Coturnix japonica: one gene and its partner. The protein of the gene in region 1 purifies or fractionates together with the protein of each later gene. This does not show direct contact. Links are inferred from orthologs where the notes say so. Each region holds a gene or a part of one and is shown on either strand. Other genes may lie near its edges. The genes, in order: STK38 and MOB2.

Region 1 (4,511 bases):
CCCCATAGAGCCCCATAGACACCCCATAGAGCCCCATAGAGCCCCATAGAACCCCATAGAGCCCCATAGAGCCCCATAGCTCTTTACCTGCACAGCCATTACTTGGGGGGGGGGGCGTTAGGGGAACACTTGGGGACCCATAATGACTCCACAGAGCCCCACAGAGCCCCACAGAAACCCATAGATACCCCATAGGAACCCATAGAGACCCATAGAGGGCCACAGACACCCATAGAGAATTATAAGCACCCCATAAAGACCCACAGAGACCTCATAAAGACCCCATAGAGCCCCATAGACACCCCATAGAGCCCCATAGAGCCCCATAGAGACCCCATAGAGCCCCATAGAGCCCCATAGACACCCCATAGAGCCCCATAGACACCCCATAGCACCCCATAGAGACCCCATAGTGCCCCATAGAGACCCCATAGAGCCCCATAGAGCCCCATAGACACCCCATAGAGCCCCATAGAGCCCCATAGACACCCCATAGAGCCCCATAGACACCCCATAGAGCCCCATAGAGCCCCATAGACACCCCATAGAGTCATGGGGCTCAGGCATGGCTCAGACCCTGAGTGTGGCATCAGGGTTGTCCTCCATATCCTATATAGACTTAACCTCCTTCCTCAGCACAGAGAACCTCAGATTGATGGATGCAAATGAGTGATTTTGAAACAGGGCCATAGAACCAGCCGTGCTTGTTTGCTAACTGAACCCTTTTTGCTGTTGCAGTCGAAGAGCAGTGACTGAGCACCAGCTCATGCATGATAAGGGGAGGGCATTTCAAGGGCTGAAGCGCCTCATGTGGCTCCACAACGCCCTGGGTAGCGTGCACACAGCCAGCAGCAGGGATATTTCCCTTCCAAATGCCATTTGGGATCCACAAAAGACCAGAGATCCCTCAGATCCCTACAACAGCATCAGCAGAGATGAGACTTCAAAGCAGCTGCTGGAAGTGATGGAAGACGAGCAAGGCTTCCCCCCTATGAAGAAGTATTTGCTGCAGAGTCTGAAGACCCCAGAGGTTGATTGGAACCCACGAGACGTTTTTGATCTCCTTCAAATCAAAGAGTTTGGTAGGAAGAGGAATCCAAGCACCCAGCACTTTTCCCCTTAGCCTCCATCCAGCTCAGCTTTAGATACGTGATGCTGTAAGGAAAAGCACTCATCCAAAGGTGAACTGCAAGAGAAAAGCAGCGTCTATTTGTTCCATTATTATTTATCAGTGTCCAGCATCCATTCCCTATTTATCAGCGTCCAACAGGGAGTCATTTAAGGACCAGGTTCCCTCCTTAACAGGTAGAAAACCACCATCCAGAGCCCGGCTGTGTTTCCTCCTATAGGTACAGATGGCTCACGGCTCAGTTGTGTTATACACCTTAACTCTGGGTTGGATTTAACCTCAAATCCAGCCTTTTAGAGACACAATTGCCATTTCCATCACACAGGCATGGCGTTTATCCACCCCCCAGCCACAAGGTGTTATAATAAAGACACCCCCACACCCTAAACCGCTCCGTGTTCCTTTATAAAACCCAAACGAACCAAATAACACAATACAACCCCAAAACCACCCCACCTTCGGGTGGCAGCGCGCATGCGCCGCCCCATTAGGGTGGGCTCAGTGCTCACCCCGCCCCTCGAGTCAAGGGGGGAGGTGGGGAGGATGGTGGCGCATGCGCGGTGCGGCGGCGGCTCTTAGGGCTCATAGGGGTGGTCGCGGTGGGGGGGGGGGTCTCCTTTGGTTCTTAACGGGGTGTGCTCTATTGGCCTGGATCACATCCCTGCCCCCCCGGGTTCCTCCGCTGTGATCACAGAGGTCTGCTCCTCATCGCCCCCTTCCCAAGGGGGGGCTCCGGTAAGCGCTACCATCACCGTTCAGTGCCCCTTTAATGGGGGTGGGGGCTGCAGGGGGGGCTGCTCGTATTGCCGGGTGGGGCCCTTTGTCCGCAGTCTTGATGTTTATCCTTCCCCCCCCCCCCAACCTGGGATCGCTCCCACTTTGCTCAGTGGGAAGCAAAACCAAACAGCGCTCTGCTAGTGGTTGGTTGGGGGGGTGTCAATGGGAGTGCTGTCTCGCTTTGTTTTGGGCTCAAATCATCGCGTTTTGGTGCATTTCGGTGAGCAAAGTGCCCGCAATGGTCCCATATAAAGTCCCGGCTGCTGTTGTTGGGTGTGAAGCGAAGCTCAGTGCTCCGGATCTGGGGGGGATTCAGTGTAAATGGGGGGAGTCCTTCAAAGCAGCAGCATCTCAATCGTTCCTTGGTTGCTCTGCTGGGTATTAGGAGCTGGGTGAGGTCGTTGTGTTTGGGATGGGAGCTCATGGGTTGGTGTTATTAGCAGGGAAACACTAAGAAACTCATTGGGAACAATGACTGCTTTCAGCGCTGCCTGAAATTGTGGGTTTTGAGGCACCGTGTTTCTTAAGTTTCCTTCCCTCTTATTCTCAGGTCAAAAATGTGCAAAACAGGAAGCTTGACTTCACCTTTATTTTGTAAGACTTTTCCCTGCTCAATCTGAGCTCTGGTTGTTCGAGTCTCATTAACATCCTATTAACATCCCCTCCGGTCCTTGCAATCCAGCATCTCCCTCCTGAACATCCCTTTGGTTTGAAGGTTGTTTGCTCTCATATCACCTGTTCCCTCCTTTCCTTACAGCCATGGCCATGACGGGCCCGACACCGTGTTCCTCTATGAGCAACCACACCAAGGAGAGGGTGACCATGACCAAGGTGACGTTGGAGAACTTCTACAGCAACCTCATAGCGCAGCACGAGGAGCGGGAGATGAGGTAACAGCACACGGGGTGTGTTAAGCACATTTAAAGCCTGTTATCATAGAGTTGGAAGGGATCTCCAGCAGTCATTGGGTCCTGCTGCAATGGACAGGGATCCATCAGATCAGGTTATGGACTGAGTAGAAGACCTGCTTGGGTTGGTCCCAGTGTATTTGCAATTAGAAATCCCCCCATCTTTCTGCTGTTTCTTTGCTGTGAGGCTGCACCACCATCACCTGGCACTGCCTTTATGCGTGGGTTAACTGAACCTATCGCACCCCCTTAAGCTGCTTGGTCATAATATACCAAGTCATTGCACTGACAGGTGTTATCTTTGTTTTCCTTTGTCCAGAAGCTTCTAATTTGCTGCGTACCCTGGAGTCGTAGCACAGGGATGTCTCTGCAGTGCTCCCAGCTTGCTGTGCAGTCTATAATCAAGAGTTTTCTAAGAGGTATCAGTGTTTATTTGCCTGCAGACTCACAGCCAAAAACAGAGCTCGACCCAAAGGGATTGCTTGGTAACGACAGTAACTGCAGGAACCTGGATGTAATTCAAACATCAGGATTGTCTTGTGGACTCATGGTCTTCCAGGCTTCACATAGAAGAGAGATTGAGGTCTAATCCAAACAATATCACTGATTGAACTCCTGGCTTTGCTTTCCACGTGTGGCTGTGCAGGTTGGAGCTGAAGTGTTGAGGTGCTTAGGGGGGATTTCAGCATCGCTCTGTTGTGCTGAGCTGCCTTGTATTGAATATGAGAGGAGATGTCTGGGCACTGCAGTGAGGGTGAAGCAGCAGAGATGTGCCTGATGGTGGAAGTGATAGCCCAGAATATTATCACACAGCAGCAGCTGTGCAGTGGCACAGGGGCCGGAAGGGGATCTCGCTGAGGGTGACTTGCATGTAGGCAGGGAATTTAGCAGACTTGTTGTGTTCCTTTGGTGCAACATGGACAGGGCAGGAGAAAACAACCCAAAGAAAACCCCAAAACTCACAACCCCAGTTCAGCCTGAATGCACTCAGTATTGGGAAGGAGTTCCCATAGATAATCATGCCCTGAATCCCTTTTCCACCCCGAACTCTTGTTTCCTTCTCTGCTCCCAGATACAGATGTGTCCATGGAAGAAGTGAGACTTTGATGCTGGAGTGTTTATGTGGGTTTAGCCTCACATCCAGCTGCTGAAGTTAGGGGTGGGAACTGACCTCACATCTCCTCGGCCTGTGTTCCATACAGTGACAGTGCACACCTCAATCAGACACATGAAACTCCAGCAGGTTTGGATTAGCAGCAGCAGAGATGGAAACTGCTGGAGCGTGGTTAAAGCAGCAGCAGGAGGTTCCTCAGGATTAACTTTGTCTGATTCTCTCTTATCTATCACATGCATTTATTACTCCCTTCACAGCAGGCAGAGACGGGATCTGTGCTGGGTTTGTGATGGGATTGAGAGAAAATGTTCAAGAATTCAACTTTCTTCTGCTGTTTATCTTTCCTTAAGGCAAAAGAAGCTCGAACAAATGATGGAGGAAGAAGGCTTGAAAGATGAGGAGGTAATTAATGAGGGGAAATTCCTTTTAAGGGTTAAGTGAATTTGGTAGCATCTACCATCTGTATTTGGAGTGACTGCAGAGCTGTGTTTTCCTCTCCTTGGACTATAGAAAAGGATCAGGAGATCAGCACATGCACAGAAAGAAACAGAGTTCCTTCGCTTGAAGAGGACAAGGCTCGGCC
Region 2 (4,375 bases), on another chromosome or scaffold:
ACATGACAAACTCATTGTATTGGGAGTCATCTCTGCTTTAAAACATGCGTCATATGACTCAACGCCCCGCTCAGGGTACAATGCACCCCTCAGTAAAACCGGGCAGAGCTCATCCTTAAATACCCTGCCAAAAATATTCCCAACAAAGGCCGACAAGAAAACATAATTCAAATGAGGGACATCTGCTCCCTAATGTTTGCAGAAAATGACTGGATCAAGTGTCTGCAGAAAGGAGAATTATTTTCTGCAGATGGTTTGATCTGATATTTTCTGTGTTGTGCGAGACCTTTGTCCCGGCCGCTCTGCAAAGTGTGCGGTGCTTTGCTGCCATCGGGCTTCTGTCCCATCCTCTGGTGTTATAAATACAAAGGCAACTCAAACTATGGAAGTTTACAAAGGCAAAATAAAGCACGTGTGCGTTGTGCAGATGTCAGAGCAGAGCCCACAAAGTAGTGGTGGATCCTCACAGCCTCCAGGAGCCAGTGCTGCCCTCGGGAAGCTGCTGGTCCCGAGCAACAACGATTTAGAAGCATCAAGGCATCATAGAATTACTCAGGTTGGAAAAGACCTCAAAGATCATCAAGTCCAGCCTCAGCCTATTCATAGTACCCTAACTCTAAGATATGGAGATTAAGATTTTCTCAAATTCAAGATGCTAACAATCATGCAATGAACCCAAGGATGCAGCTGTCAGCACCCGGACCAGCAGCCTTTAATTAACCTGTGTCCTACGTGTGTGATCACACACAGATCTGCAAATAGCTTTGTCTTAGAATGGAGCAATGAAGGAGGTGGCTGTACTTCTGCTTTAGAACACACCAATAAACACAGAGTCACAGAATTGTAGGGGAACCTCTAGAGATTTGAAGAATTGAGGGGACCTCTAGAGATCATCGAGTCCAACCCCCAAGCTCATCGAGCCCAACCCCCGCCTATGGCTCCGAAATAACCCACAGAGACATTTGGAACGGAATGGATTGTCCCTCTCCATCACTGACATCCCCAAGCAAAGCACCGCACTACACTTCCCAGCGTGCCCCAGGATGCGGCAGGAAAGGGACCGGGGTGCGGAGGGTGCCACTACCGGGTTGTCCGGCTGCGGGGCGGGGCGAGCTCCGTGTGTTTACTTCCGTCCGCCCGAGTGCGCGAGTGTCAGAGCCGAGGAGCGCGGCCGCTTGGTTAGCGGAGCCGCAGCCGGGCAGCACCCGCCGGGCCGGCCGCTGGGGCGGGGCGAGTCGGGACCTCATGAGCGGCCGGTGAGAAGGACGCGGCTGCCGCGGGAGCCACCCGGGGCGGCGGGACCCAGCCATGGACTGGCTTATGGGGTGAGTAGGGCCCCCCTTGCGCGTCCCCTTCCCCTCGGGGAGCGGCCGCGAGATACAGGGGCGCGAGGGCGAGTCGTTGTGCGAGCTCCGATGGAGGCACCTGGCGGGGGGTGAATGACGGAGCGGTGTGTGCCGTCGGGCTGTGTCGCATCCCGCCGTGGCCCCGGAGGAAGAGCTCGGTGCAGCCGGGTGTATCCCGCCGGGCCGGAGGGAAGGAAGAGGTGCGGAGGATTCAGCCTCGGCCGGGAGAAGTAACTTTACTTTCCTTTTTTGGCCGTGGGAACGGAGGGTGTCGGCGGGGCGCCGGGCTTCCTGCAGGCTGAGCAAGGAGCTGGGACCGCTTTAGGCAACCCTACGGGCCGAAATGCAGGCGGCTTCCTATGAGGAGGAATAGGAGAGCTCGGAGGGGATTAAGCCAAATGAGAGCCGCGCCGGGGGGCTTCCATAGCCTGGGATTAATAGTGTTAATTGCGCTGCCGGTTTTAGGTTTGAGCGGCTCGGTGAAGGCGCCCCGATGCGCCAACGAGAGCTGGAGCAGCGCGTTTGGTTACAGCTGGCATGAGCTGTGCTCGTGACCTGTGCTTAGGTGAACTGTGAATAATTCTGCTTCCAAATCACATGAGCTGTAGGTTTATGCTTTAGCTAAACTAGACTGCCGGGGATTTCTGCTGCTTGTAGGTCCTTTATTATTATTATTGTTATTTTGCGTTGATTTAATCCTGTGCCTGAACAACGTCTTTGTCACTTTGGTTATGTGATGTGCTCTTGTGTCACAGCTGCTAGATTTGAGCTGTAAGGAAGGCTGCACGTGCCCGTGTCGCCTCTGATCTGCAGCAGAAATCATTGGAAGAACTCTTGAAAGTATGGCACTTGTTAATTAGCTTCAAAGCAGCTGTGAGAGCTCCCGAAGCAGCTGTCAGTACCTGCTCTGCTTGACTGCAAGCTTGGCCCCCGATCTGATGGAGGTGAATGCTCAGTGTGTGTGCAGCAGGGTTGTCCTCCAGCAGGCTGAGCAGCAGAAGTGCACTACTTCTAGTAGGAGATATGGGAAAGGAGATGTCTGTATGCCATGTACCACTATGCTCATGTTGCACCCCTCTGACCTATACTGTGTTGGTACACTCAGTGAAAATATTAGTGTAAATGGCAGGTTGGTTTTGCTATTATTTCTGTACCAACCACCCAGTGCAGGTGGCCTGTTTTCATTTTCTTAGTAGAAGCTGGAGTGTCAGAGCTGTGCTACGATCAGAAAGAAGTCAAATCCAATACTTGGCAGGATGTTTGGCTGTCTCAAAATGGCTTGGTTATGCTCTGGGACTAATTTTGAGCAAATTACATTGTAAAGCAGAATGGAATCAAAACAGAGTTTAACCAAGGTGTCAAAATATTAAAATATTGGTTTCCTCTTGGAAAAGTATTTTAGGCTTTTCGAAGCTGCTATGAAAATATTGATATTCCTGCTATATTTTCTTTCTTTTCCAAGTTTGTGGATCCGTCATGTTGGAAAAAGGCTTCCCTGTTTTCCCATTGCAGTGAGAGTGGATCCTGAGTCATTTGTACATTGTGTACTCATTCTCAGCTATTTCCTGATATGTTTCTTGCCTGACCAAACCCACTTTGTCCCACTGGTGCTCTTCTTAAATCTCTGTGAGTTCAGTTTGTGGATTTCTTTAAGGGATGGGAGTTGTGGTGCTGGAGGAAAGGAGAGAATTGATATTTTGAAAGGAGAAAGAGAGAGAGGCCTGATGGACTTATTAAGCTGCCTACGTTATTCTTGCTGTTAGCAACAAAGTATGTATGAAAACATCCTTCTTGCTGTTTATTGAGAAAGAAAGAGGATGTTTTTCTGTCTCAACAGAAGCCTGGGTAATGTTATTCACTCAGCCTTTCTCCAGTGAAAACTTCAGCAATTCTGATTATATGCAAAGGGAAAGGCTGTAGAAATAGTAGGAAAACATACTGTTCCCATTCACCACTCAGTTGTTGTGTCCACTGCTTGTTGTGCCTCAGGAGAGCAGGTTGTATTGGTCTGTGTCTTGGTGTTGTCCCCCTTGTGATGATTGCTCTTTGCTAAATGAGTTGTCACTAATAAAAGTACCTTGATCTTTCTTATTCTGTGCTGTTGGGGTAATGTGCAGGCTTACACTTGCAGTTCTACATGTGTGTGTTCACATAAACTTATTGTGTTATTAGTCGTGCTTTCTTATTGTTCAGTGTAAGAAACACTGTCTGTATTTTAACTTCATGATGCCAAGTTATCAGTCTTCAAGTGCAAGGGTGTTATATTAGGCAGCAATAACAAGTTGCTTCTGTTCTAGATCTCTACCCTTCAAGCTTGTGTCATGTTTATCCTATAGAAGATTTAGAATGAGATCTGCTTTATTCCTTACTGGTCCTCTCTGTGCTTGTGTTCTGGAGTGTGGGGGAAGGGTAAGTTCTAATCATACCACAAAGGGCAGCAGCCCAAGTGTCTCTGATCGCCTCAGAGTGCTTAATATACAAAAACGGAAGCTGAAGCTTATAAACAATAGTGAATTTATTAGGGATTAACGAGCAGTTACAGGATTACGTGGTCACACAGCAAAACTTCTCAGGGTGCTGTTTTCTATTTGATGAGGTGCTTAAAAACCCAGGTCAGTCGTAGGGAAGAAAGCTGAACAAAATGGGCTATTTGCACATTACAGTAAGATCTCAATTTAGCATCGGAATAAACCTGAAGTCTTTTCTCTAGTTGGTTGGTATCTTCTATCTTTCTACTGAGCGAGGCCTTAATAACAATACTGGTGAAAGGCTCTGGTCTTTACAGTGCACAAAATACACTTTTTGTTGCATACAGAAAAGATTTTCAATCCAATTACACTGGGAATCAGTATTGCGTAAATGTTTTGCTCACTTATGTCTGACAGCTCTACAATGCATTTTTGAAAGATATCACAAACTTTTGTGTTACAAATAGCAATTGATCATTCATGAAGTTCAAAGCAGCAATAAGGACGGGTGTTGTTTATTCAGTTATGAGACTTGCTCTTTAAGATAGCTTTATAATTCAT

Evidence for each region.
Region 2: the proteins of STK38 (region 1) and MOB2 purify together in Homo sapiens (affinity purification with mass spectrometry; 7 studies listed by BioGRID and IntAct, with this or other methods). This does not show direct contact. The link is inferred for Coturnix japonica from reciprocal best matches to the Homo sapiens genes STK38 and MOB2.

What each region holds. Positions count from the first base shown.
Region 1 is NC_029541.1:1,927,282-1,931,792, reverse strand, and holds the start of STK38 (serine/threonine-protein kinase 38), read left to right. Parts: upstream 1-1,679; 5' UTR 1,680-1,864; intron 1,865-2,663; 5' UTR 2,664-2,665; coding exon 2,666-2,796; intron 2,797-4,278; coding exon 4,279-4,330; intron 4,331-4,438; coding exon 4,439-4,511. UniProt on the Homo sapiens protein: Serine/threonine-protein kinase that acts as a negative regulator of MAP3K1/2 signaling. Converts MAP3K2 from its phosphorylated form to its non-phosphorylated form and inhibits autophosphorylation of MAP3K2.
Region 2 is NC_029520.1:10,355,011-10,359,385, reverse strand, and holds the start of MOB2 (MOB kinase activator 2), read left to right. Parts: upstream 1-1,421; 5' UTR 1,422-1,439; coding exon 1,440-1,576; intron 1,577-4,375. UniProt on the Homo sapiens protein: Stimulates the autophosphorylation and kinase activity of STK38 and STK38L.